4 linked regions of the Rhinolophus ferrumequinum genome follow. The protein of the gene in region 1 interacts with the protein of each later gene in a pairwise test. Links are inferred from orthologs where the notes say so. Each region holds a gene or a part of one and is shown in the gene's direction. Other genes may lie near its edges. The genes, in order: DAXX, FTH1, MX1 and ETS1.

The links.
Region 2: the proteins of DAXX (region 1) and FTH1 interact in binary tests that used the Homo sapiens proteins (3 or more experiments, as listed by UniProt). The link is inferred for Rhinolophus ferrumequinum from reciprocal best matches to the Homo sapiens genes DAXX and FTH1.
Region 3: the proteins of DAXX (region 1) and MX1 interact in a two-hybrid assay, tested with the Homo sapiens proteins (2 studies listed by BioGRID). The link is inferred for Rhinolophus ferrumequinum from reciprocal best matches to the Homo sapiens genes DAXX and MX1.
Region 4: the proteins of DAXX (region 1) and ETS1 interact in binary tests that used the Homo sapiens proteins (3 or more experiments, as listed by UniProt). The link is inferred for Rhinolophus ferrumequinum from reciprocal best matches to the Homo sapiens genes DAXX and ETS1.

What each region holds. Positions count from the first base shown.
Region 1 is NC_046286.1:3,663,004-3,669,886, reverse strand, and holds the start of DAXX (death domain-associated protein 6), read left to right. Parts: upstream 1-3,861; 5' UTR 3,862-3,990; coding exon 3,991-4,038; exon of another isoform or gene 4,039-4,047; intron 4,048-4,664; coding exon 4,665-4,669; intron 4,670-4,885; exon of another isoform or gene 4,886-4,937; coding exon of another isoform or gene 4,938-4,954; coding exon 4,955-5,141; intron 5,142-5,295; coding exon 5,296-6,127; intron 6,128-6,238; coding exon 6,239-6,453; intron 6,454-6,608; coding exon 6,609-6,837; intron 6,838-6,883. Other genes in the region: SMIM40 (small integral membrane protein 40), read left to right, coding at 658-900. UniProt on the Homo sapiens protein: Transcription corepressor known to repress transcriptional potential of several sumoylated transcription factors. Down-regulates basal and activated transcription.
Region 2 is NC_046294.1:9,007,258-9,014,174, forward strand, and holds FTH1 (ferritin heavy chain), read left to right. Parts: upstream 1-3,904; 5' UTR 3,905-4,108; coding exon 4,109-4,222; intron 4,223-5,572; coding exon 5,573-5,719; intron 5,720-6,033; coding exon 6,034-6,159; intron 6,160-6,255; coding exon 6,256-6,417; 3' UTR 6,418-6,577; downstream 6,578-6,917. UniProt on the Homo sapiens protein: Stores iron in a soluble, non-toxic, readily available form. Important for iron homeostasis. Has ferroxidase activity. Iron is taken up in the ferrous form and deposited as ferric hydroxides after oxidation. Also plays a role in delivery of iron to cells.
Region 3 is NC_046285.1:105,591,684-105,598,912, forward strand, and holds the start of MX1 (interferon-induced GTP-binding protein Mx1), read left to right. Parts: upstream 1-4,212; 5' UTR 4,213-4,353; intron 4,354-7,229.
Region 4 is NC_046308.1:28,898,029-28,905,475, reverse strand, and holds the start of ETS1 (protein C-ets-1), read left to right. Parts: upstream 1-4,431; 5' UTR 4,432-4,544; intron 4,545-7,447. UniProt on the Homo sapiens protein: Transcription factor. Directly controls the expression of cytokine and chemokine genes in a wide variety of different cellular contexts. May control the differentiation, survival and proliferation of lymphoid cells.

The sequences.
Region 1 (6,883 bases):
AGCAACTCTCAGACCAGGACCTCCCACAGAAAAATCTCACTCTTCATTATTATTGCCCCAACAGTTAAATCTCAATCATAAACCCTTGCCCCACTGACCAATCATGGTGTTTCTCTCTCTCTCTCTCTCTCTCTTTTTTTTAATAAACCTCCCCTTCCTTGGGTTCTTGCAGCTGCTTGTCCCCCACCAGCCTTGGTTAAGAGAGTCCCGCCCCCACCCCAATTACCCACTGTAAAGCTGGAATGGCCTTTAGATCTTTGACTGACAGCAGCTCACAGTAGCATACTAGGTCCACTTGTTCATGCTCTATCTGTGGTGGCCCAAGCCCTTGAGCCTTGAGCCTAGAGACCCAGAATGACTTGGGCAGCTCCAGCTTCATGTCTGTATGTTGGGCCTTCAGTTTCCAAAACAAAATTATAATGCTGGACAGACTTTAGGAATTATTTTGTCCAGTCCATTCACATTGCATTGGATAATTACATGATTGTTCCAAAAGCTCAGAAGCTCTACTCTCCTTTCTCTCTCGGGTGGGGGAATTAGGGTCAAACCAGGCAGGTGAAGGACTTGCCCCACCACGCCCCTTAATCCTGGCATTGCTGAGCAAGGGCTTCCAGCCTAGCCTCCCTGATCCAGCCAGCTGTCAGACTGTAGGTTACAATGGCAGAGGAGGAGGGTGACATGGATGAGGACGATGTGTTCCTGGCTTTTGCCCAGGGTCCTCCTCCTTCCAGGGGTCCCCTACGTCGGGCCTTAGACAAGGCCTTCTTTATCTTCCTGGCCTTCTTTCTGACACTACTACTGCTGGAGGCTCTTTATAAGCTGCTGTGGCCACTACCATGGGCAAAGTTTGGGCACTGGCTCTTGAGGTCACCTCAGAAAGAGGAGGAACTCGAATTGTGACCACCTTTCCTATAAACATCCTCTTACTCTGCCACAGAGGTGAGAGGGGAGGTGGGGGAAATGGGACTGTTGGGGGCTGTGGAGGGGACACCTAGAGAGGTTAGAGCAGCTGTCTTAAAATTTCGTCACCTATACTCTAGGAAATAATTTTGAACAGGTTTATACTCCTCAGGTTTATATTTCTCAGTAAGCATCTAAAAATTTTCATCATAATTAAAAATTGTTTCAAGGATGTAATTCCTGGCATATTGAAAATATTTACATTTTAAAATAAAACATTTAATCACTCTTTTGAATGTCCAGAAGAACTGAAATATCAGAGTGATTTGATACCTACTATCATCCATTTAAAAATACATAAATAAGCTCTTAACAATTGGGAATCATTCCTTTTCTCTTTTCTCCTTGAACTCCCATTACCATTCCCCTTCCCCAGAGACAATTTTATGCTTTTATACTTAAAAGTCTGAGATGAAAAATATTTTTCTTTCTTATGATCAAAACTCGTTTTTCCCCCTCTTCCTCCACTTTCCCAGCCCCATTCCAGTTCAAGCCGCTGTTTCTCAGTGTAGTTGTGTAGGACAGAGCTCCCTGGCCCATGCTGCTATTATGAACCTTGCGCTCCCCCGGCTGAGGCAGTGGATCGCCAGTCCTCAGTTGGCTGCTCACAGCAGCTCATGGCAGACCTCGCCGGCTGGCTGCCAGCCACTCCTGGCAACACTGCTGGCCAGCGCCTGGCAGCACACGGTAGCCCACCGCTGCTCATGGCAGCTTACGTCAACCTCTGGGTGCTCACAGCTGCCCAGCTCCAGGGAGAGCTGTTTTTCACAATCTTAGCTGTAGAGGGCGCAGCTCATTGGCCCATGTGGGAATCCACCGGCCACCTGAACTGTTGACCTGAGCACTAGAAGGACCAGTGCTCCAACCACCCGAGCCACCGGGCTGGGCCTGCCCAAAACTCTAGTTTTTAAAAAAATTTCTTCAGGGTTATCATTACAATTATTATGAGAGCAGAACCGATCAAATGGCATGAAGATTGTACACATTTTTATAATTGTTAAAAAATTTTTAAATGTTTTTAATGAGATAGACGAGGTGGTGTTTATGGTGCCTTAATGAAAGAAGTTGGCTACATAGCTCTTTATTTGACACTAGGTAAGACTGTCTCCAGATTTCAGGGTTGAAAACTATACTTTTTTTTTTTTTTTAAGAGGGAGAAAGTCTACTGTAAAAGGGTAAAGGAAGAAAAAGAACCTCTAGGGCCGGCCTGGTGGGTCAGGCGGTTGGAGCTCTGTGTTCCTAAAGCCCAGGCTGCCAGTTCAATTCCCACATGGGCCAGTGGACTCTCAACCACAAAGTTGCCAGTTGGACTCCTGCAAGGGATGATGGGCTGCGCCCCCTGCAACTAACAATAGCAACTGGACCTGGAGCTGAACTGCGCCCTCCACAACTAAGACTGAAAGGACAACAACTTGACTTGGAAAAAATCCTGAAAGTACACACTGTTCCCCAATAAAGTCCTGTTCCCCAATAAAATCTTAAAATGAAAAAGAAAAGAAAAGAAAGAAAAAGAAAAAGAACCTCTATTGTAGGTATTTATTCAGGAGAAATTTTGGGAAAGCTGAGGATCTGGAAATTAAATCTCTAACATCTCCCAAGTCCAAGTGCTCTTTGGGGAGTTTTCATTTTCCCCAGTTTGAAGACTGTAGGTTTAGACGACTGGAAAGAAGAGATGTGAGATTAATGGAAGGGAGCGTTTGAGGTTCTGGGACTCTGAGGCTTGGACGTGTAGGGACCGCGGAGATCCTAGAAAGTGATAAGATGCTCACCACTTGTGGAATGCTCAAGGATGTAGAGGGGAGCAACTCAGCCATTGGAACAGTCTTAGCCTCTCCGGTTTCCCCCAGAAGCTCACCTTTGGACCCAGCCTTGCCTCCATGAGTCCCTCCAGCCTCCCTAAAAGTGGGCGAGGTGGGATGCGGGTGAGGCGGGCGTCAAAGTCTGTGTCTTCTCTGTTCGTTCTTTCCTCAGCTCTCCCAGAGAAAGAAGAGGAGACGAGACCCGCGGTATTTTCCGAGCCTCATTTCATCTTACAGCCCTTACAGTGGCAATTCGCAGAGATTCTTCTTAACTCCCTTCCGCCTCCCCATATCGCCACTCCTTAGGCCCCGAAGCTCCCGGACAAAGCACGTCTTCTGGGTCATGACTACCTGAGCCTCAGGGACCCCCTTCAGAAAAGTACGGAGAATCACGTAGGTGCCACCTGCTTGGTTGGTAATTAGTCTGTGGTGAAGCTTGAAAAGCAAAACAACAATCGTAATAATAACAATAACACATTGTGTGGGGCGTTGTAATTATTTGTGTGCAAGTGTTTTGATGTCACGAACACCTGGATTCAAAACACTTGGAGACGCCAGGATGTAAGAAGCTGCTGGACAGCGGCAAGGGAGTGCGCAGCCCAAAGACGGGAAGGGGCAAGCGCCGTGGAGTAAGCCGTGGAGACGGGTACCTGGCAGGTAGGAAAGCAACGCGGGAAGGCTGGTCAATAGCCCATCGAAAGGAAAAGGTTTTATTTCCCTCGTGAGAGGTTTCCGCCCTTTCGTGCACCAGTGCGTAGCCTTGGAGGGCCCAATTCCTCAGCGGCCGTTTTCCGTTCCCCCCTTCCCTACTTGGAAAGGTGGCTCAGTCCTCCCGGCACGCGCCTAGCCGGCGGTTGGGCGGGAGGCAGGAAGTTTCTGATTCGCGGAGTCGCAGAAGCGCTGGGTGGAAAGACATCCACTGGCGGAGCTCTGGAGTCGGGGCTGAGTCAACGCCGTACGGCAAAATGACGGCCCCCAGGTACTTAGGGAAGCGCCGCGGGGATAAGCTCGCCTCCTACAGGTCGGGCGGAAGGGAGCCGCATACAATGTAGGAAGCTCCAGAAACGTTCGGGGATCGGACCTATTGTCACTTCCGGCCACAGGGGGAGGTGGGGGGGGGACTGGGTTCCGTACGAGAATATGGCGCTTAGGTTACTGGAGGCGGAAACTCTGCGGCTTCCGGTCCAGCATCGGGCCTGCGGTGGGAGGGGGAAGGAAGGCGGAGGTAACCATGCGAGCTTCTGATATCTGCGGTGAGAGTCGTTTGGAGAGGCCGTTTGTTTCTGAGGTGGGGCCCGGACTGTGCGGGGGTCGAAGGTGGGGGTGGGGATGTCGAGGGAGAGGTGTTGGGGAGTCCCGGGCGCTGAGTCTGAGGGGCAAGCTTTCTTTCCTATCCCTGAAGGGGAGTGGGGCGGGTGGGGCCTGAACTGGGGGAGGGGGACTTGGCGGGAAGCTCATCTAGGGGAAGAGGCCGGACTTAGGCTTGGGATCCGAGAGGAATCGGGCGAGCCCAGTGCGGGGCTCACGAGCGGTTACAGGTCACCGAGAGTATGAGGAAAATTAGGGTGGGGTGAGAGGGAAGGGTCTTGAGGTGAAATACCTCCAACCTGACTCCCCGGTTTGAGACCCTTCGGCGGGTGGAATCTGAGATACATTACAAGGGGTGAATGTATGGTTGAGAGGGAACCTTCTTCGCCTCAGAGTCTAGAAGTTGGGGAGATCCTTCAGGATGGGGTGAGGGTGTGGGTTTGACGTGTTTGAGAGCCAATGGTGGCGCTGACGGGTGTAGCACCTGTGCGAGGTGAAATCTGGAGTGCAGTGTGGGAGGTGGTGGCCCGGAGGCTGGGAGGAAAAGGCAGTTTGCCAACTAAGACAAATAGTGGAGAATGGAAACTGAAAGACCAGATGTCGTGGATATGGGGAGTGGAGCTGGGGTGGGGACTTGAGGTCGCAGGTGGTTTGGGGCCCCAGAAAACATGGTGCTAATGGTTGCTGAAGACAGGCAGTGAGGACACTGTTGGGCAGGGCTGGGTGTTACTGAAACCCAAGAACACTGAAAAATGTGTGAGCTGAAGGGATGGGGCTATGCTGGAGGGGCTCTTTCTAAGGCCCCCGTCCCCTTCCAGCAGGAAATACGAAATCCCCAACACTTCCTCCCTCCGGGGGATTTGATCCCCCATGGCTACCGCTAACAGCATCATTGTGCTGGATGATGATGACGAAGATGAAGCTGCTCAGCCAGGGCCCTCTCACCCACCCCCCAATCCGGCCTCACCCCAGGCAGAAGCCCCTGGCTCCTCCCAGCCCCATGGGGCTGGAGGAAGCAGTAGTTCGGGCGGCAAGAAATGCTACAAGTTGGAGAATGAGAAGCTGTTTGAAGAGGTGAGCTTTAGGGGAGAAGATTCTTGTACCCCAGGGAGGGGGTGGCTCACTGGCTCTCCTGTCCTTTTTTCCCCCACTAATCCCGCCATGCCTTCTTTCTCTCAACCCCCTCCCTTGTCTCTTTCCCCCTCCCTTCTTCCCCTGAACCCTCCAGTTCCTTGAACTGTGTAAGGCGCAGACAGCAGACCACCCTGACGTGGTCCCGTTCCTTTGTAAACGGCAGCAGCGTGCCCACTCTCTGTTTTTGGCCTCAGCGGAGTTTTACAACATCCTCTCTCGGGTCCTGTCTCGGGCCCAGAGCAGGCCAGCTAAGCTCTATGTCCACATTAACGAGCTCTGCACTGTTCTCAAGGCTCACTCAGCCAAGAAAAAGCTGAACCTGGCCCCTGCTGCCACCACCTCTGGCGAGCCCTCTGGGAGTAACCCTCCCACAGACACCTCCACGGATGCCACAAATGCCGAGGCCACTGGCTCTGAGGCCCCAAGGACCCGTGGTTCCCGGCGGCAGATCCAGCGTTTGGAGCAACTGCTAGCAATCTATGTGGCAGAGATTCAGAGGCTGCAGGAAAAAGAGCTGGATCTCAAAGAATTGGATGACCCAGACTCCACATACTTGCAGGAGGCAAGGTTGAAACGGAAGCTAATCCGACTCTTTGGGCGGCTGTGTGAACTGAAAGACTGCTCTTCACTGACAGGCCGGGTCATAGAGCAGCGCATTCCCTACCGTGGGACTCGCTACCCAGAGGTTAACAGGCGCATCGAACGGCTCATCAACAAGCCGGGGCCTGATGCCTTCCCTGACTATGGAGATGTGTTGCGGGCTGTAGAGAAGGCAGCTGCCCGCCACAGCCTTGGCCTCCCCCGACAGCAGCTCCAGCTCATGGCTCAGGATGCTTTCCGAGACGTGGGCGTCAGGTTACAGGAGCGACGCCACCTTGATCTCATCTACAACTTTGGCTGTCACCTCACAGATGACTATACACCAGGTAGGGATTAGTGATGCCCATCAATAACCCTTGTGTATATCAGGTGTGTGGTAGAGGGGGCATCTCTCTAGTCCCTTCTTCTAGGGTTTGACTTCATATCTTTCCACATAGGCGTTGACCCCGCACTGTCAGATCCTGCCCTAGCCCGGCGCCTGCGGGAAAACCGGAGCTTAGCTATGAGCCGGCTGGATGAAGTCATCTCCAAATATGCGATGATGCAAGACAAGAGTGAGGAGGGCGAGAGACAGAAGAGAAGAGCCCGGCTCCCCCAAGCCACCTCTTCCCATTCTGTGGACCCCCCCAAAGGCTCCTTGGATTCTGGTGAGGTATGGAAGGGATCTACCCTTCAGAGACACCTTGTCCTTCCCCTGCACTGGCCAGCAGGGACTCCACGGTGACCCATGGGGGAGTGTGCGGAAGGAACACAGAACCAGACCCTCTGGGGCAAGGGATTCATTAGAGAAAGTCCTTTGTCCCCCAGGGCCCTAGTGGAATGGCATCCCAGGAGTGCCCTACCACCTTCAAGGTTGAGACCGAGGACGAAGATGAGGAAAGTGATGAAGAAGAGGAGGAGGAGGAAGAGGAGGAGGAGGAGGAGGAGGAGGAGGAGGAGGAGGAAGAGGTCACAGATTCTGAAGAGGAGGAGGACTTGGAACAGACGCAGGAAGGTCAGGGGGATGAAGAGGAGGAGGAGGAAGAGGAGGAAGCAGGTATGACAAGGAAAATCTCACTGCTAGTTCCATCTACTCTGTTGGG
Region 2 (6,917 bases), on another chromosome or scaffold:
TGCGGTCCCTGGAAGCCAGCCAAACTCTCCACCTCCTCAAAGTCACGAGGAGCTGGGGCTGAAGGGGAGGGAGGCCAAATTCTGGTCAACAAAGGTCCAAAGACCAGGCTCCAGCTTTGGAAGAATCTAGAAGCTTGGAGATGGCAGTTCTGACACCCTGGCAAACAGACACACACATACACACCCAGCACAAGACTTCCCTTTCATTCTTCCCAGCTGGCCTCCCCAGTGAACTTCTACAGCCCAGACTGTCCCTCAGTTTTGCCATGACGTTCTCGACAACTGTGTATGTGTTTAACCAAGCACAGAGCCAATACTGGTTCATGAAATCTCTTTCTGCAACAGACCAACTTCATTCTGGTGGGTCCAACTTTAGGCTGGCTCTGGCTACCTGCATGTCCTGGAGGCCCTGAAACTCGGCACCTCCAGTCCAAAACCTAGCTTGCCTTCCCCAATGGCCTCTCCCCGAAACTGCATTTCCTCCTGTGCTCTCTCTCTCAGTGAATGGCAGCTGCAGCCCAGGTGGGAGGCTCCCTTGCCCACCTCCCACCCCTCACCACCACCCACCCCCAATATCCAATCAGCTACCTCATTCTGTCTGTTCTGTCTTCTCCATATCTCTCAGATCTGCTTTCTGTCTTCTTTGCTCACTGAGAACTAGGGCTGTTGCCTCCCAACTGGTACCCAACCCTCTGGCCTGACTTTAATCCATCTTCCACATTCAATCGTGCATCCATCTGTTCATTCAGCAAATACTGAGCACCAAGTAACAAGCACCTTGCACAATGCTGGGAGCCCAGGATGCCCGCCCTCGAGCTTACAGTATACAGTAGCAGGGAAGACAATTATAAGGTGTGATTTATATGTATATAATTATACATATGAATATATATAGTATGTTTATTCATCGTCACTACTTATAGGAGCTACAAATATCAATTCAATTTGTCATTTGAATTTTAACTTTGTTTATGGCATCTTTTGTCTTAGAGCTTTTTTTTAAGGAGGGCGCAGCTCAGTGGCCCATGCAGGGATCGAACCAGCAACATTGGTGTTACCAGCACCACGCTCTAAACAGAACTTTTCATTTTTAAGTAGTCAGATCGCCAACTGTCCTTTTATGGCTTTCGACAGCCTCAGAACACTCCTTATCCCAAAATTCTAAAAGATAATCTTCTATATATTCTTCTAGTAACTTCATAGATTTTTTTAAAGCTTGAATCTCTAATCCAGCTGGAACATGTTTTGAAATAGTGAGTCATCTTCTTCCACATGACTGTCAATTGTTTCAACATAATTTGTTGAACCCATTCTTTCTTTTTTCTTTTTTTTTTTTTTTAAAGATTTTATTGGGGAAGGGGAACAGGACTTTATTGGGGAACAGTGTGTACTTCCAGGACTTTTTTCCAAGGCAAGTTGTTGTCCTTTCAATCTTAGTTGTGGAGGGTGCCGTTCAGCTTCAAGTTGTTGTCCTTTCAGTCTTAGTTGTGAAGGGCGCAGCTCAGCTCTAGGTCCAGTTGCCGTTTTCTAGTTGCAGGGGGCACAGCCCACCATCCCCTGTGGGAGTCGAACCGGCAACCTTGTGGTTGAGAGCCCACTGGCCCATGTGGGAATCGAACCGGCAGCCTTCGGAGTTAGGAGCATGGAGCTCTAACCGCCTGAGCCACCGGGCCAGCCCTGAACCCATTCTTTCTCCCCTAATTTAAATTACCACTTTAGCATCTACCAAGTTCCTATACATACGTGGGTAGGGTTGTTTTGTTGCACTGATATAGTCAGCTCTTCCTTTGCCAATACCAACTGCTCATAGTACCTTATACTTTTACATATGTGTGTGTGTGTGTGTGTGTGTATATATACACACACACACACACATATCACGGAGGGCAAATCTACCCCCATAATCTTTTCCCCCACATACTTATCACCTATTCTACACACTCACTCTTCCAAATGAAGTTTAGAATCATTTTGTCAAGTTCCCAAAAAAACCAGTTTCATAGAAATTGCATTGAATCTATAGGTTTATTTTGGGAGAACTGACATCTTTACAAAACTGAGGTTGGTTATTTAGAAACATGGTGTCTCTTCATTGATGGAAGTTTTCTGTCCAGCAGTAAATATTTATAGTTTTCTTCACACATTTCTTATTACCTTTATTCCTAAATACTGTAAGCATTTGTTGCCAATGTAAACGAAAAAAATTGTCTTTCATTCCATTTTTAAACTGATGGTTATTATTATACAGGAAAGCTTTGTGACTGATGACTTGCTATACTCTTATCCTAATAGTTTTTCTGTTGATTCGGTGTAAGTTTTCTGAAAAACAAAACTAATGTGGTAGAAATCCCTTAGTGTTTCCACATCATCCAGGATAAAATTTAACCCCTTTTTACGGCACACATTCCTTCCTGACCTGGCCCCTAGACTACCCTTCCAGCATTCTCCAACATGACTACTTTCCAGGCCTATACTCTTTCTTAAAGTACCTTGGACAGGCCATACATTTCCACACTTTTACACGTTTGCATATGCTGTTCTCTCTGCCTGGAGAGTTCTCTCTCCCTCATCTCCCTCCTCCACTTCACCTTCCTTTTAACTTTTTCTTCACACAGCGCAAGTGCTACTTTCTTAGGAAAACCTTCCCTGATCTCCTATCCCAGGCGGAGTAAGGCACCCTTTGTCTCCTCTCCCAGCTTGCTTCTGCTTACTTTATTGAAGCTCTGGCCCCACTAAATTTTTTTTCCCTGAAAGTACCGTTTATTTTGAAATGAATAAAGACCCAAGAGAAAGAGCCATAATTCCATCAGCAACTTGGTTTAACATTTTAGTAGTTTCTTTTAGGTTTGGAAGTCCAGCTTCCAGTTGCAGGTTAGCATCCTGAAAGGGGTCTTGGATAAGTCTCCCCCGTGTCAAAGGACCTGGCTAAGAATAGTGAACTTCGAAGCCAGCAGACTGGGGGACAGGAGCTCGAGCCTGGCTCTAGTTCTTCCACCCACTGCGTGCCTGGGTCATAGCTGCAAGCCACATGCAGTGGACCTGCCCCTCCAGGGTCCCCGGTGCAAACCGCACCTGATAAAAGAGGTCATTTCAAAATGGCCACACAGCATCGTCTCCAGATGCGCGCCCAAGTCTCTTCTCCTTTTTCTAACTTTCCATCTGAGTTTCAAAGTGCCACCAGTGATTTTCTCAGGCCCAGGGGGCTCATCTCAAGGACTCCCACAGGGAAAGCGGTTTCATGTCTGTCGGGAAACACGGCCCGCCCAGCCTTTGTTGTATAAACTGCACCAGGAGCCATATTTGCTTTCAGTAAAGGGCGGGCGGGCGGGGGCTGATCCGAGGTGGCGTGGGCCCCCCCATTCCGCCTCCATTTTGCAGCTTCGGAGACTTTGAGGAAGAGAAAGTGTGTCCTTTCCCAGTCCAACCAGACTCAGTCGGCTTCCTAGGGCCCACGTTTCCATATCCAGTTTCCCAACTGGCATTACGAGGTGATCACCTCGGGGTGTGCTAACTGCTGCTCTGCCGCTCACATTAACAAGCCCTTGGCCTTGGCCCAGAGCCTCGGGGTGTCGTTGGGGACGAGAGTCGTCCTGATGCCCCGGGGCAGTTTCCCGTCGGTTCCAAGACCCAGGAGGCCACGCGGGCCCGGGCTCCGAGCTGGGCTTCCCGTCCCTCCCCACTGTGTCCCTTCAAACCCACCAAGCGCGCCACCGAGCGCACAGCCACCCTCCCCCGCCGCACGCTTTGCCGCACCCGCCGCGGCCTCCGGGCCTCCCCTCCCCCACCGGCCCAGCGGGGCGGGGCCTCACGCCCACCGGAAAAGACGGGGCCTGGTGCGACGGGCGATCCGCGCGATTGGTCAGCGCGAGCCTGACGCCCGCTCCCGCTATAAAAGGCCGGAGGCAGCGGCCTGCGCCACAGTCTTCGCCTGGAGTTGCCGTGGTTTCCTGCTTCAACAGTGCTTGGACGGAACCCGGCGCTCATTCCCCCGTCCCGCCGGCTGCTCAGGGCTAGCCTTCCGCCACCTCCTCACAGCGCCTGCCGACCGCCCTGAGGTTCCCGCCACCGCAACAGCGCCGCCGCCGCCGCCTCTCCTTAGCCGCCCACCATGACGTCCGCGACCTCCTCGCAGGTGCGCCAGAACTACCACCAGGACTCCGAGGCCGCCATCAACCGCCAGATCAACCTGGAGCTCTACGCCTCCTATGTCTACCTGTCCATGGTGAGCGGGCACGGCGTAGCCCGGCTGCAGGGCGAGGGCCGAGGCGCGGGGGCGGCCGCCCGGGCGCGGAGCGGGGGTGTGGCTACCGGGCGGCCCTCCCGCCCCGGGCGCCCTTCGGGAAAATGGAGGCTGCTCCGGGTCTCCCGGGACTGGTCTTGCGCAGAAGTTCTGGGCAGTTAGCTCTTGCCGACTGCTCCCTGGGAGGACTTCGTCATAGGCAAAGGCCTCCTCTGCGCACCCCTTTATGTGTAAGGAGAGCCTGGGTTCTTGAAATCCCGGGATTGCAGCACCTAAAACCTAGACAGCCCTGCAGTTAGGAAGGTAGATTTGTTTTGCATTTCCATCCCATCCTCTGCGTCTACGTGTCCCTGAGACCCTCTGTTTTCTTTGGTAAAGGACGAAGAGGTCCAGCTACCATCCCCCTGGGTATGGCGGAGCCTCCTGCGTAATGGTGTCGAATGGCAGCCTTGGGGCTGGTGCTAAGTGACTTATCTCCGGTGGGCCGACCACTCCCGAGCAGCTGTCTCCACCCCTCTGCTCTGCTTATCTCTAAGTCCCACTTGAATTGAAGCCTATCTCTAGAATCTCCCTGTCTGTGGATAGGAAGTTGTCTATGTCACCCGGCCTAGTGCCTGGGTGCTTAATTCTTTGTCTTTTTTGTATCTGTAATAAGAGTTGTAGCCCTCTAATAATTGAACCCTGAATTTTGGGATGAAACCCCCTGACAGCTACTGGGCAAGGAATTATTCTCTGTCGTGATCAGTGGAATCCGTTTTTCAAAATCCTGGTGTTAGTCGATGTGGTGGGAGTTTTAGTTAGAATTGTCTTAGGATCATGAAAATTATCCAAGAATAGACATGTTCTTGAAAACAGGCCTGAATTTCTATGACTGCCATTCCATTTGAGGAACACCTAAATGCAGCAAGTGTCCAAGACCGAATCAAATTTTTGCTTTCTACTGGTAATGATATTTACCTCCATTAGCATTGCACACAGTTGTCACCTTGCCTAGTAAGTTAATTTTAGAAATCCTTCAGTCTGCCAGAAGCTGGCAAGCTCCTGTTGTAAAAGGGGTTGATCAGGGAGGAGGGGCTAATAATGCAGGGTAAATACTCCCACAGCCTCTCCAGGGAAATTGGACACTGGCCGTAAGAATTTTGCAGTAATACAGGCGATTCAGACATTCCATACTGGTATTCCTATGGTATTGTAAAGGTTCCTTGTCGTAAACTTGGAATTTCAAGGGCCAGGTTTCATTTTTGGATTTGAAAAGTAGAAACTAATTTTGTTGTGTTCAATCTAGAAACACAACCTGACTCCTAACGTAACATGTTCACATTCCACGTACAGTCTTACTACTTTGACCGCGATGATGTCGCTTTGAAGAACTTTGCCAAATATTTTCTTCACCAATCTCATGAGGAGAGGGAACATGCTGAGAAACTGATGAAGCTGCAGAACCAGCGAGGCGGCCGAATCTTCCTTCAGGATGTCAAGGTGAACAAAAGGTCCTACAGCTGTCACACTTGCATAGTCGAGCAGTTCTCAGGTGTCAGAAATCAGTCAGAGACTAGCAGTTGCCCTTTTAAAATAAGGATACTTTGGGCCTTTACCTTTCGTGCTCTTTCAGGCCTACCATCTTAGCTAAAGTAGGCACCCAGTAATGAGCAAGGATGGTAAATTGGAAACTGTCGTCAAGGGAAACTCAGATGTCCCTTTTGCCAAAGCTCGCTGGTTACATTAGGTACCTGCTGAATTGCGGTTTATTGGTAGAGACTATAGATGCATTGACCTAACTTCCTTTCATTCAGAAACCAGACCGTGACGACTGGGAGAATGGACTGAATGCAATGGAATGTGCGTTACACTTGGAAAAAAGTGTGAATCAGTCACTGCTGGATTTGCACAAACTGGCCACTGACAAAAACGATGCCCATGTGAGTGTTGGCAACGTGGGAATAAATGGAGGAAGTCGCTTCCCTCGGGGGCTGGGAACGCTGGCCAATAACTTTCTTCCCTATTCTGTTTTCTAGTTGTGTGACTTCATTGAGACTCATTACCTGAACGAGCAGGTGAAATCCATCAAAGAATTGGGTGACTACATTACCAACTTACGCAAGATGGGGGCCCCTGAATCTGGCATGGCAGAGTATCTCTTTGACAAGCACACCCTGGGAGACAGTAATGAGAGCTAAGCCTTTGGCCGGCTTCCAGTAGCCACGGGGGTGACTTCCTGGTCACCAGAGCAGTACGTGCATGTTAGGGTTACCTTTATCTTTCTATAAGTTGTACCAAATCATCTATTTACGTTCTTTCGTTTGTACCATTTCTTCAAATAAAGTAATTTGGTACCCAGCTGTTGTCTTTGAGTTTTGGGGATGGGCTAGAAGTATATCTAGGCCCACAGTTCAGTCACACCGATCAAAAAGAAGTACGCCTACGAGGATTTGTACTTAGGAAAATCCTTAGTTGTATGAAACTCCTAAGTTTGGGAAAGATACCAAGGCTCGTTCGTGTGTGTGCTGATTTCAGACAGAACTAAAGGACTCCTGATTCTGAATTAGCTGTTTGGAATAACATGTTTCCTTCCAGTGATTCATTCTAGCTTTTGTAATTTTTATGTACAAAAGGGTTAAGTAGTCTTGCAAGTACTGATTTTTTGTTATCCATTGGGCTAACCATTTAATTCGGGCTG
Region 3 (7,229 bases), on another chromosome or scaffold:
CAGCCAATGAAAGATGGTTACAATATGGATGGACCTAGAGAACATTATGTTAAGTGAAATAAGTCAGACAGAGAAAGACAAATACCATATGATCTCACTTATATGTGGAATCTAAAGAAAAGAATAAATGAATGAACTAATCAGAAACAGTCTCAGAGACATAGAGGAAAAGCTGAGGGTTGCTAGATTGGTGGGGGAGGGATAAGGGGGAAGGTGAGGGGATTAGAAAGTATAGTCGGTAACCACAAGATGGCCACGGGGAAACGAAAGTCAATTTGGGGAACGTAATCAATAATGTTGTAAAGATTTTGTAGGGTATCCGATGGACACTTGTCCCATTAGGGAGACCACCTCAGGGATGGTGTAGATGCCTGATCACTGCACCGTACACCTGAAGCTGAAGCTGAACAATAGTGAATGTCAGGGACCGGCCCAGTGGCTCAGGCGGTTAGAGCTCCATGCTCCTAACTCCGAAGGCGGCCGGTTCGATTCCCACATGGGCCAGTGGGCTCTCAACCACAAAGTTGCCAGTTCAGTTCCCCGAGTCCCGCAAGGGATGGTGAGCTCCGCCCCCTGCAACTAAGATCGAACAGGCACCTTGAGCTGAGCTGCCGCTGAGCTCCCAAATGGCTCAGTTGGTTGGAGCACGTCCTCTCAACCACAAGGCTGTGGGTTCGACTCCCGCAAGGGATGGTGGGCTGTGCCCCCTGCAACTAGCAACGGCAACTGGACCTGGAGCTCAGCTGCGCCCTCCACAACTAAGATTGAAAGGACAACAACTTGACTTGGAAAAAAAAGTCGTGGAAGTACACACTGTTCCCCAATAAAGTCCTGGTCCCCTTCCCCAATAAAATCTTTAAAAAAAAATAATGAATATCAACTACAATTATATATGTATACACACACACACACACACACACACACATAGTTACAAGAAGCAGAGTACAGCATTAGGAATAGAGACAGTGGAGATGTAATGGCTGTGTGCGATGTCAGAGGGGTAGTGGAGGGGGGGGTTGTCACTGTGTGAGGGACATAAATGATAAATGTCTATCACATTGTTTTGTGCACCTGAAACTAAGAAAAAAAAAAGATGGTTACAACTCAGCCAATGAAAAGCCACTAAACTTCAGACAAACTCCCAGTTTCCTCCAATGGACTTTTTGTTTACAACAGCCCCTCTGAACTCTCCTCTTTCCTCTACAAAGAAGTTCCTCTCTTTTATTCTCTGACTTTTATTTGATTCGCCATTAGGCTGCATGACCTGAACTGCACTTCTTTATTGTTCCAAATAAACCCATTTTACTGGAGAAATATCTGGCTATTTTTTAAAGGTCAACAGGACCCAGTTTCCATTTCTCACTAGCTTTGTGGGGGGAAAGCGTCTACCTCTCCACGTCTCCATTTTCTCCACATCTCCATTTCCTATTTGATTAGTTTTTGCTCTATTGGAAGATCATGTGTTTAGAGAAATTAGCCCAGTGCCTGACGGAGTCACTATTCTATGAACACTTCACAACCAAGGGACAGCATTTTTTTTTTTTTTTTTTTAAGATTTCATTGCGGAAGGGGAACAGGACTTTATTGGGGAACAGCGTGTACTTCCAGGACTTTTACCAAGTCAAGTTGTTGTCCTTTCAATCTTAGTTATGGAGGGCACAGCTCAGCTCAAGGTCCAGTTGCCATTGTTAGTTGCAGGGGGCAGAGCCCACCATCCCTTGCGGGAGTCAAACTGGCAACCTGTGGTTGAGAGCCCATGCTCCAACCGACTGAGCCATCCAGCAGCTCAGCGGCAGCTCAGGTGCCATGTTCAATCTTAGTTGCAGGGGGCGCAGCCCACCATGCCTTTTGGGAGTTGAGCAATCGAACCGGCAACCTTGTGGTTGAGAGCCCACTGGCCCATGTGGGAATCGAACCGGCAGCCTTTGGCGTTAGGAGCATGGAGCTCCAACCACCTGAGCCACCAGGCCAGCCCAAGAGACAGCATTTTTAATACAGAGATATTGCATTGGGGTCTCTCCACTACCTGTACTGTGAAATGTGGAGCCCAGTTGTGGCAGAGGAGGAATGAAGCAGCCTGAGTTGGAATTTGAAGAACTGATGGAAAGAACAAGCTGAGTCAATACCCATTAGCCTTCTGGGGAGAGGTCCTGGGAAGGCAGGAGACACCTGCCTTCACCATATGAAAAATAAATTTTCATCGGGTGAATGCCATAGGGACAGTTGGCCCTATCCTGGAAAAAACGATTTCGCAATGGCCACCGACCTTTCCCCAGTGACTGTGCACTGGGCCATGTGTACACCAAGCCAGGACCCAGGGTCCCCAGCTCAGCTCTACCAGGCTTTCAGTATCTGTCTCCTCGGGACAGGGCTCGCTGGGGGACCTGGGGCAGATAAGAAGGCAAAGCCTGGCCCTTTAAGACCAGATAAATAACAACCTTGGTGGTGCCTGCCTTCTGGTGCTTTAATTGCAAATGAAACACGTGGAGAATCCCCTTAACATGCAGATTGATTCAGTGATTTTGGGGTGGCCCCAATCCCTGAAGCCAATGCTTCTGGTCGGGGCACCACCCTTTGAGAAGGACTGGTTTATGCCACAAACATAGAGGAGAAAACGAATTGGGGCCAATGACACCTGGGGCAGGACCAGTGCTCCGGGCCAGACAGAGAGGACGCTGGGCGGGGGCGCTCTTTCCGGCCCTTTGGCCCCTCCTCACAGGCGTGGGAGTATTATCCCAGTGGTTCAGGGCTGCCGAGCAGTCCCGCGCCCCCCTCCTGCCCCCACTTCCTCGAGGCACGTGACACAGGCAGAACCGTGGCCAGGTTCAGCCACGTCTGAGAGGCCTGGGGCCAGAGAACCTCCTCTGGGCTCCGCCCTCCTCCTCCTCCTCGGGGCTCCGCCCCCTTCTCCCCAGCTCCTGGATTTAGGATTCTATTGTTGCTTCATCTAACTTACTTTTCTGTGAACCCAGGAGGAGAAAAGAAACTGAAACCGAATCTGAGTTGACTAGAAACGGAGACAGGGAAGGAGAGGCGGGGAGACTACGGAGGAAACTGAGAGGCGTAGGGAATCTGTCCGGAGGTCACTTGAGGACCACGTCTGCAAGACCAGAGCCGGTCCTACCCATCATTCATTCATACATTCACTCATTCCTGTCTTCCAGAAACATGTATTGAAACACTGTGCCAGCAACTATGCTGGATTCCGAGTGCAACAGCAAGCTTCATGGACCTGGTCCCTCCCCATGTTCACGGCCACAGAGGCCAAGACAATGTGACGAGGCCCCACTCCACAGGGGCGTGGGGGAGAACACGGGGATCCCAGGGAGCAAGTCCCCTAGGCCTGGAGAAGGGGGCGGGGGCGAGGAGGAGCGCCTTGGGCTGCAGCAAAGAGGGGCAACATCCCAGCAGTGGTCCTGGGGCAAGGTGAGGCAGGGCACAGGCAGGCCTGGCACACCACGCTGCGTAGGAATGCCCACCCCGGCAGCGGGGCAACTCGCAGCATTTTTATGGAATGCAGTGTGCTTCCCGTTTTGAGAAAATGCCCAGTTGGGGCCGTAGGGAGCTGGAAGCATTGCTTTTCATTAATGCCAGCTCAGCTCTCCTTGACACACCTGGGCCAGCCCTAGCAGGTGACGAGAGGGCTGTACGAGGACCCTAGTCACCCGTTGGTGCGCAGGCAGCAGGGGCTGGGGCCACATCCCCCACAATCCAGGACATCCATCCGAGATGAACTGCATCTTAGTCTTAGCGAAGCCAGTGGGGGGCGGGATGAAGCACGACCCAGGCTTGGAAGGAGCTCCCAGGGGCCGCTGCGGATAGGGCACATCGCAGTTGGGACTTGGCAGGGAAGGAGGCTGTCTCCGGGAGCCTGTGGGAGAAGGGCTGGCCCGCAGAAGTGTGATGGTGGCGATGAGTGGGGCGCTGAGCCTGGTGGACAGTCCTCGAGGGCGAAGAGTACACAAGTCGTTTGGGAGAACACAGAGTAATCGATGTTTCTTTAGCAGAGAAGGAATCGCCAGCAATTCAGGTGGAAGGTTGTGTGCTTCCATCTTGTCGTGCGGCTGGAGAGTCTGCGAGGCTCCAGAGCTCCCAGGGCTGAGGATGCTTTGGTGCCGGGCGCGCACTCGGAGCGCCTTGCTGAGGCTGCAGCTCCGCGCGGGGGGGGGGGGGTAGGAGGGGTGGGGGGGCGGGGCGACGGATTCGGTTTCGTTTCTGTTCCCTCCGGCCCCTCGGGGTAGGAGAGTTTCGTTTCCCCGCGGCCTGGCCTGACTGGAGCGGAGGGCGGAGCACACACACCACTTAAAGCCGGAGAGTGGTGAGGGTGCCGCACTCGCGGCAGTGAGGAGACGGGTGAGTATCGCGCTCCCGGGTCCGTGCACCCTCCGGCCGGCTGCGGGAGGCTCGAAGGAGGGCGTTTGCAGAGGGAGGCTGGTTGCAGAGGGAGCGCTCGGCGGTGTGGGCATTGCGGGGCTAGTAATAGTAATGATGCTGAATGAGAATGAGAACAACACTGATGCTGGCTGGGCCGAGAGCGCGCTTGATTCTACTTCAGAGCAACGGCTGCTGAGGCTCCTGGGTGACCGATCCCAAACAGCCCCCGAACCGGTGGCTTTTCTGCTTGAGGAGGTGGGAAGGTACTGGGGATGGGAGCCAATGGGGTCTCTGAAAGAGCGGGTTAAGGGCGACGCACTGAAAAAGTTTCACATCCACCGCTGCATGGTCTCCGAGCCCACCCCAAAAGCCGACCACTTTTTATTGTTGACTTATCCAGCTAACGCGTTCAAAGCGGACAGGTCAGCCCCGGGGATTCCTTGGAAGCTGATGGACAAAGGGCCTTCACGGACCCTGCAGAGTATGAGCGGCTGGAGCTGAGCGTCCTTGCGAGGAAGCTCTGGGTACGGGCGCAGCCCCGTGGGAAGGACCTCCTGCTGGGAGAGACCAGGCATGCGCCGAAGTGCCCTGCGCCGCATAGCCCCACCCACCGGGGAGGTGCCCCTTAAGTTTGTGCAGCAGGGTGCCACTGAGTGGGGCAGACTCACACTCCGGGTCCATTGTCATTTGCGGGGATAAACCGAGGCAGGATGTGCTAGGGGCTGACGGAAGTAACCCAGCAGCCACCGAGAGCGGTGCATGTGGGCTTCTCGGAGTTAGGTCAAATTTTAAATCAAGTTTTTGTTGGAAGTACGGTCAAGTGATACTAACCGTCAGCTGTCAGTCCCAAAGGCTGGGTGTCACCTTTCTGTTTTGGAGCACACCTGCTCTCCCCACCTCCACCACCTCCGAGGTGACCCCCCCCCCCCATTCTTTCCTCTTCCCTTCTCCCCACATCCCGACACTCAGCTCAGTGTGTCTACGGAGAGAGCATTAGGGTAAAGTGGAGATGTTCTCCCGTTTAATAATAAAATATTTAAATGTCTGGGCTTTTAGAAAGCAGAACACTTTCAAGAGAAAATGCAAATGTAAGTCCTGCGAGATTATTTTAAGATCTAGTCTGATTTATGAGTGTGAGTGCTGGAAAAAATACTTTTCCTCCCACCTGTGTGCTTCTCTCTGGGTTAATAATCAAATTAACAGAGACAGATTAACAGGAGAAAATCAAGTTTTAGTACATATGAAAGGGGAATTCACAGAAGCAGGAAAATTCCAGGCAGCGAGGCAACACTGGGTATACATGACATTATGGACAAAGGAGAAAAGGGGGGATGGGGTATTAGATTTCAGAAGTGAGAATGGGTGATTTACAGGTAGTTAAGGAAGATGGAACAGCCTGGCAGGCAAATTCTTGCTGGGCAACCAACCCCGAGACAATGGGACTCTGGCGGGATGGTCCACACAATGGGACTCTGGCGGGATGGTCCACAGGCTCCCGCGTGGAGTCTCCCTGTGTAGTGACCAGCCATTATGCTAAGTTTCCTCCCTGAAGCAGGTTTTTCTGTCTGATTCTCTTGAGCAGGAAGGGGTGGGGGAGCAAAGGTTCTTTCTGGGTCTTTTGTTTCTTAGTAACCAGCTTGAAAATCAATATCCCACAATGTAAAACTTTCGGTCCCCTTCTTGGGCAAGGTGCAGACTCTGGATCTGGCAGTCTGTAGGATATGCTAGGTATGTGGTCCTTCGCAGAGGTGGGGGCGCTAAATCACCCTCCCATCCCCGCTGCCGCATGCTCTCTAAGCTCAGGAAGCTTCCCCACAAGCACGGAAATCCACCCCCTCAGCCCACAGCAGGGATTCTCCAGTGCCACTGCTGTTAGTTAGATGGGCCTCTAGTCTGGAGGCCACTGGCAAGCTACCAGTCCGGAAATCTGAAGTGGAGGGGGCAGCCAGCCCGTCACCCCCACGGACAGTGAGACCTGAGTGGACACAGAGCTGCCCTGGGCAGGAATGGAAAGAGGCTGCTGCACCTGGGCAGGGTCTCTCCTCCCTAAACCAAGCTTCGGAGTGAGAGGAGAGCCTGGTCCAGTAGCCCACCAGTGCCCACTGGGGGTGTGCAGAGGTGCGGAAGGTGACAGCTGGAAAGGAGAGATGGTGTGCAGGCCTCAAAACTCCCTTCGGTCTTGTCTGCAAACGCAGGGTCCAGAGTAGACGTTTGATGAGCAGTATGGGCTGAGAGCTAAGGGTCACCACGATGGCCAAAGTTGGCAAATGCATTCAGGCGAGTGTGGCAGCTGTAGCGGAATGCGGGGTGTGATGAAGAAGTCAGAAAGTGGTTTTCCTTACTGAGATTGTCCTGCTCCTGAAATCCAAACCGATCCTCAAAGATGATCCATGAAAGGTACAAACATTTAAGATGGACAGACAAAACCCACACGTTTTTGCTTTCAGGGACTGTCATTTTACCAATCAGAAAGTGAGATACCATATGATCTCTATTATGTGGGGAATCTAAAACAAAATAAATGAATAAACAAAACAAAGCGGAAACAGACCCTTAGATATAGAGAGTACGCTGATGGTTGCCAGAGGAGGGGCATGAGGGATGGGAATTAAAATTTTTTTTTAATAATTTGTTTTTTTTTTTTATTTTAAAACATTTGAAAGAAATAAAGACGCATCCTGTGTGCGGGGAACTGCCTTAGTATTGCTAGTCAGTCAGAACTTTCTTTTAAAATAAAAACAGGATGTGCTTGAAAAGCTGTAAGTTTTCTATGGGAAACCCTTGCTGAGTCAGTTTTTAAACACTGGACACAATTCTCATAGAGCAGGTTCAGGTTTACTAGGACGGTTGCCCCA
Region 4 (7,447 bases), on another chromosome or scaffold:
AGCTTCCCAAGGGGAGTACTTTGAAGGTGACTGTAGTGATATTCAGCAATGAGGTATGTAGCACTAGTTCTAGGATGAGTTCGTTAACTTAATTGTCCCACCATGTACATGCCTCCTAGGTCACTGGGTTTCAATTTTTTCCTCAAGAATCTTATAATATGTAGTCGTTTCAACTGAGGTCCTTTCCTATAGAATTCAATATTGCAGAGCATGGAAAAGAACTGTTAGTATTGCCTTTTCAGTTTACTGTTTACACAATCATTCAATTATACAGTAATTTCCAGAAACTTGTGACGTTGGGCTGCTACTTTTATCCCCACCTTGAGAGACCAAGGGAGTCTGTGTAGTGGAGGGAGTTTCCTGTGATCCTTCCGATGAGTTCATACCCTCTTTTTTTGGAAGATCCTTTTTCTTTGCCCTGGACCATCCATGTTGATAAGAAAGCATTCCTTCTGTGGACGGTTTACTTGACCCTAATGCTGTACAGTTTTTTCTTCAGGACATTTTTTGTTGTTGTTGTAAAATATACATAACTTAAAATTTACCATTTACACCATTTTTAATTGTACAGTTTAGTGGTATCCACCTCCATAACTTTTTCATCATCCCAAACGGAAGCACTGTTCCCCTTCGACACTAATTCCGCATTCCCCATCATCCCAGATCCTGGAGATCTCTACTCTGTGTTCTCTAAAATTTGACTATTTTAGGTACTCACATAAATGGAATCATACAATATTTGTTCTTTTGTATCTGAATTATTTCATTCAGTATGCTATTCTCAAGGTTCATTCATGTTGTAGCATGTATCAGAATTTCATTTCTTTTTAAAGTTGAATAATATTCCATTGTTTGGAACATAAACATTTTGTTTATCCATTCATCTGTCAATGAACATTTGAGTTGTTTCTGCCTTTTGGCCCCTGCGAAAAATGCTGCTATAAATATTGGCATATAAATATCTGTTCCAGTCTCCGCTTTCAATTTTTTTGATTATATACCTAGAAGTGGAATTGTTCGATCATATCTTAATTCTATGTTTAATATTATGAAGACCTGCCATACTGTTTTCCATAGTGGCTGTATGATTTTACATTTTACCAGTAATGTGGAAGGGTTCCAACTTCTCTACATCCTCACCAACACTTGTTATTTTCTGTTTTTTGTTTAGCATCCATCCTAATAGATGTGAAGTAGTATCTCATTGTATTTTTGATTTGTATTCCCCTAATGATTAGTGTTGTTGACTATCTTTTTATGTGCTTGTTGGCCATTTGTATATCTTTGTAGAAATGTCTACTCATGTTCTTTTCCCATATTTTAAATCAGATTATTCAAGTTTTTGTTGTTGCTCCTGTTGTTGTTGAGTTGTCAGAGTTCTTTCTATATTCTGAATATGAACCTCTTATCAGACATATGATTTGCAAATATTTTCTCCCATTCTTTGGGTTGCCTTTTCACTTTCTTGAGTCCTTTGATGTACAAACGTTTTTAATTTTAATTTTAATTTTTTATTGGGGAATATTGGGGAACAGTGTGTTTCTCCAGGGCCCATCAGCTCCAAGGCAAGTTGTCCTTCAATCTAGTTGTGGAGGGTGCAGCTCAGCTCCAAGTCCAGTTGCTGTTTTCAATCTTAGTTGCACGGGGCGCAGCCCACCATCCCATGTGTGAATTGAACCGGCAACGTCGTTGTTAAGAGCTCAAGCTCTAACCAACTGAGCCATCCGGCTGCCCAAAAGTTTTTAATTTTGATGAAACCCAACTTATCTACTTTTTCTTTTGTTGCCCATGATTTTGGTCATATCCAATAAATCATTGCCAAATCTAATGTCATGAAGTTTCCTCCTATGTTTTCTTTTACGAATTTTATGATTTTTAGCTCTAACATTTTAGGTCGTTGATCAATTTTGAGTTGATTTTTGTATATGGTGTAAAGTTAACTTCTGACTTCATTCTTTTACATGTAGATACCGATCTAATACTATATTTTTGAAGATACTGTTTAAAACAAAATTTGCTGCTTTTTTGGGCATTCTCTAAGCAATTTATGCCAGGGGTGGTTTATTGTGTAGCATTCAGATTTCTAGCTTAGGTTTTTTCATACTATGATAGGTAGTGGTAGAGGACAGAGTTAAGGTCCTAAACGGTTGCTGTGCATATGAACTTTGTGTAGACAACTCCAGATGCCAGAGCTCCTCAATAATCACACTGTATACCCTTATAGGGCAAGAATCCAAGTTTTCTCTCTATTTTGTTCAACTCCCTTGCAAACATAGTGAGTAATACAGTTATAATTAGTTGTGATTGGTTTAATTGACCTGGGCTCTTTAAGAGTATTTTCTTTGGGAAATACCAGTTTTTTTGTTTGTTTTGTTTTATTCTTTTTAAGGAGGGCGGAGCTCACAGTAGTCCATGTGGGGATCTAAACGGCAACCTTGGTGCTACAAGCACCACGTTCTAACCAATTAGGCTAACCGGCTACCCCCAACCTGGGCTCTTTAAATGGAACCAAGTGAGGTATAGGGGGTGGGCCAAATATTCTGTAGCTCTATTCATAGACTTCGCTCCTCCGAGGTTTGACAATTAAGTTCATGAACTTGTTGCACCGATGTTGCTAACCTTTTTTTTTTATATATCAGAGGGATTATTTATTATGAATTTGTACCAACTAGACAAACAGTTGACTAAGTTTACTGTTTGGAAGTGCTGAAAAGGCTGTGTGGAAAAGTCAGATGACCTGAACTTTTTGCCAACAATTCATTGTTTTTGCATAACTACAATGTATCAGCTCACACAGTACTGTCTGTGAGGGAGTTTTTAGCCAGTAAACAAATAACTGTATTGGAACACCCTCCCTACTCACCTGATCTGGCCCCCAATGACTTCTTTCTTTACCCGAAGATAAAGGAAATATTGAAAGGAAGACATTTTGATGACATTCAAGACATCAAGTGTAATACAACAGCTCTGATGGCCATTCCAAAAAAAGAGTTCCAGAATTGCTTTGAAGGGTGGACTAGGTGCTGGCATCAGTGCATAGTTCCCCAAGGGGAGTACTTTGAAGGTGACCGTAGTAATATTCAACAATGAGATATGTAGCATTTTTCTAGGATGAGTTCACAGACTTAATTGTTATACCTCGTAGCAAGCGCACTTTATTGGGATGGTTGATTTATGTTTCTGTCTTCCCACCATAGTGTCAACTTGTTATATTCCTAGTGCCTAGCACAGAGCTTGGCATAGATATTTATTAAACTAAACTGAACCATTAGCACTATCTCTTCCTTTCTTTTAAATTAAGCCATGTTAATCTGCAAAGGCAAAAGATGAGCAGTAAAATCTTGTTTTAATTACAATACCATTTTAACTGCTCTCCCAGCTTTATACAATGAAGGATAATGATGATGTTGCTCTGAATGACATTTATTAGATTTTCATAGACTTTCAACATCAAGCATTATGTCTTCATTAGAAAGGGAAAGGAGCCAACCATGACAAATTGTAAATCCCTTCTATTACTCAAAGAAAAAGGAATCTTTCAGGATAAAAGTGTTAAATTAAGCAGCCACAGTGACAAAAATTTCTGTAAGGAAACAGCCCTATTTATTGAAATGATAGTCCACTGCAACATTCTTACCACAGTTCTGACTATGTGAATAAAAGATGCTATGTTTTCACCTAGCACAGATGCAAGATTTTCACATTGTTTACATTTTCTCTAAATTGGGAATATATGACTATTTCTACCATTTCATTCCTGCACCATGGACTATGAATCAGGGCACTAAAGCTAATCTATTTTAGAGATCATCTAAAAGCAGGTTTACATGATGAGCGTATTTGGGCTATACCGTATTCCATCAACTCTCTTCCATAGAATCATTTTCTTTCCCTTAAAAAATATCACATCTCACATCATGTTAATAGAGATAAACAAGAAGCCTGAGCATGTGACTGGGTGGTAGTAGACATCCTTTCTTCTGACAGCCTTTCCTGACTGGATTCTTCCCCAGTCCCTCCCTCTCCTGACCCTTTGCCTAGGTTAAATGAAGCTCCATTGAGAATCAAGACATGTGAATCATGAATATTCACATATTCAGTAGAGAGTAAATCTAATGCATCTGTAAAGGCTGAAAGCCGGTGTTATCTCATTGAGCTAGTTCCCTTTTGTTCGTCTCCCTCCCAATTACTCCCCAAGGCTGAGTTATATTTAATGGAAGGATAATTTGAAGGATGGAAAATAAGGTGTGATTTGGTGCTATCTCAGCCTGTAACATTATTTGCTTTACCACCTAGACCGAAAAACTTGCTCTAGTGGTTGCCTCTGTGCTGTCAGGGGCTAGCGCAACCCTGCCTTTTTCCCAGCTTTCCCGGGCTTGACCACACCTCCCCAATTTAAGGAGGCAGCTCTATTAGAAACATTATGGTCTTTGCATCCTTTAGCCATCGAGCCTAGGATTCCCGCAGGTAGTTGGAAGGAGACCACAGTCGTTGAGGGAAGCTCACTCAGGACTGTTTCTTCACCCAGTCTCTCCAGCAAAGTAGTAAGTGAAGTGTGAGTTTCTGCCTAAAACTTTGCAGTTCATTTTCCTTTTCCTTTTTTTTTTCTTCTTTAAATTCTGTGTAACGAAATGGCAAATTGATGAGGACTTTCAGGATACAGGCGGGTTTTCTCTTTCTCTTTTCACATTTTTCTGTATTTTCCATTCAATTCTTTAATAATGATTTTCAAAAATACTTCCTAATCTTGTTTGAATAGTGTGAATCAAGAGTGTTTCACTCTTTTCCCTGCTTTATAAAAGCAAAATCATGCACGTTTTTGATACTCACAGATTAGTTGTCAGAAAGTCTGAATTTTTTTCGCCTATTGGAACACTTCCAAAGAGCTAAAGTTAAATGTAATAATTTCTTTTGATTTTTTTTTCTTTTTGTCTTTCACTCCTAGCGAGCCTATTGTTTTACTTCTTTTTTCTTTTTTTCTTAGCAGCTTAATGAGTTGCTTTTATGGAGAAGAAATTGCTACAGGTTTGAATATAACAAGCCAAACTAGCCTTTTTGGTGTTTTTCCCTGACTTGTGACTCACCTTTCTCTAAGGTTCTCCCTGTCCTTCGGACTGCAGCTGAGAAGGGGGTCTCTGAGTCAGGGGGACATTTGTCCCCTCCACGGCAGAGCTGGACTTGAGGGACTCTGCCATTGAAGAGCAAGGGGTGTGTGTGGATGGCCATTCCCCGCATTCCGTGATTTTCTTTGGCAATTCCACTTTGTCTGTGGCTTCTCATCTACTGTTAAAATGTCTCTGCTACCCCCTTTAAAAGTAGCATTTTATGTGGGTGAACTATTGGAAAAGATGCTGGGTTACTGAGATCAAGGCATTTCATTGATAGGTTTTTCTTATTATCTTTTGGGTAAGTTTTTTATTTTTTTTTAATCTCAAGGCCATTTTTCTTCCGACTTCATACCACTACTGTGCAACTGAAAAGATAGATATTTGTTAAGTAACAGAAAATACAGATTCTAAAATGATAACTCTGGCAGCTCCATTTGATTTGTAAAATGACTGACGCTTTGACTCTTTCATCAGTTGTGGTTCTGGATTGCATCACCTCCTTTTTATCTAAAGAGAAAAACCTTTTGCTACATATGCCTGGAGGGCTGCTGGGTGGCCACCAGTGCTACGGAGATTCTTACCTGTTGTTTCCGAATGGAGGGAAGGGAGAGCTAATGAGTTAATGTCTGCAAAGTGCTTTGAAGATGAAAAGACCTTTTCATGTGTTCAGCATTGTAGTTATTAATATTAATATTTGAAGATGCATGCTGCTTCTAATTGTAAATCAACAACTTCCATCCTTGCCAACTCAGTAGTGAAAAAACAAACAGGGGAGGCAGCCACGCAGACTCTTCCGTCCTGGTTCTGCAGCCAAGGATGTAGGAAGTGAGAGTCTGATTACAGAGGGGGCATCTTTGTCCTACAGGCCCCTCGCACAGAGGTGCTAGTTGGTAGAGGTGCCAGGAGGTCCTAGAGTAGAGCCCTGGGGGAGGGTGGGTAAAGGAGGTAATTGTCAATATCTGGTATCTATGACCTTGGAGAATTGGTTGAGGGCACGGACCTGGGCCAATTGCCTGCCTCTGAGTATAATGGCATTCAAAGGTGAGTAAGATAAGAACTGGCACCAGCCCTGGCTTTGGAGTCAGGAAAGTGGATGTGCACTTGGGTCCTATTAGAGGTTGGCTTTGTAACTGAGAACAAGTTATTTAACGTAACCATGCCTTTTTTTCTTCATCTCTAAGTTGTAAATTATGATTTGTGCCCCACCTATGTCATACAGAGGAGAGAACAAAAGTAAATATAATTAACTCTGATGTTTCTCTCCTGACTGTACATGGAGCCTCAGTTAGGCGCAGCCGAATTTCTTACTGATCATTCCAGTTCTGCTGGACCTCATGATTTTATTTACTGGTGAACAGATCTGTTTGCCACAGCAACTCTCCTTTCCTCATTAGCATTCAAAATTCTCACTTCTGCATCAAACAGCAAAGGGAAGGGATTACAACCCAGAAGCTGGGCATCAGACCTCCCTCCCCTCCATCCCTTCCTCTCTCTCTCCCTTTTTCTCTTTCTCTCTCTCCCTTTTATAGAAATTAAAAAGTATTTCGTATTTGAACAAAATAAATGTGGTATGCAGCAATTTAATGCCATTGGAGGCAAATTTTGTGAGTCTTTAATCTTGGAGAAACTTAGATATGAAGATAACTCATTTTTTTGCCTTTTCATTTCCTCTGTCCCTGCTCTACTGAAAATGTAGCTTTAGGGAGCTCATTTTTTAAATCTGGATGATTATCCGCATATAATACCTGGTTTCCTCCACTTCACCTGAGTGAGGCAGGATAATAATCCCTCCTGTTTACTGAGCACTTGGTCCATTGCGGGGCCTGTTGCTAGGTGTTTTGCATGGACCAGTCATTTCATCTACAGTGAAGTCTTTGAGGTGGGCATCTTGTCATCCCCATTTAACAGATGAGGACCAACTTTTGGGGGAGACCTGATTAAAACTGAAGGAATGTGAGTCCAGGGCTTGTGTCTGGGGTGATATCTCACAGGACCTTGAGTAGCTTTGGAACACTTGCACAAGTTTAGGCTGAATTTTTCTGCGTAGACCTAGGATTTGCTTTTATCTGGAAGAGCACAGTGGATCAAGTTTATTTTCCAAAGGGGAATCTGTATTAATTCTTCACTGTTAGGAAGATACTGAAGAAAGGCTACAAGGTCTAGTCTCTTCCTCAGTCTCTCGTGACAAATGTTGATTTAATTTCTATTCTGTGCCCAGCCTTGTGTTGGGGGCTGTGATGGGTACAGAAGCAACAATACATAAACTCCATTTTTTAAATTAACATAATTTATTTTAGGAGGCAAGGTTTTACCTGAAAACAGGATAAAAATAAAAGATA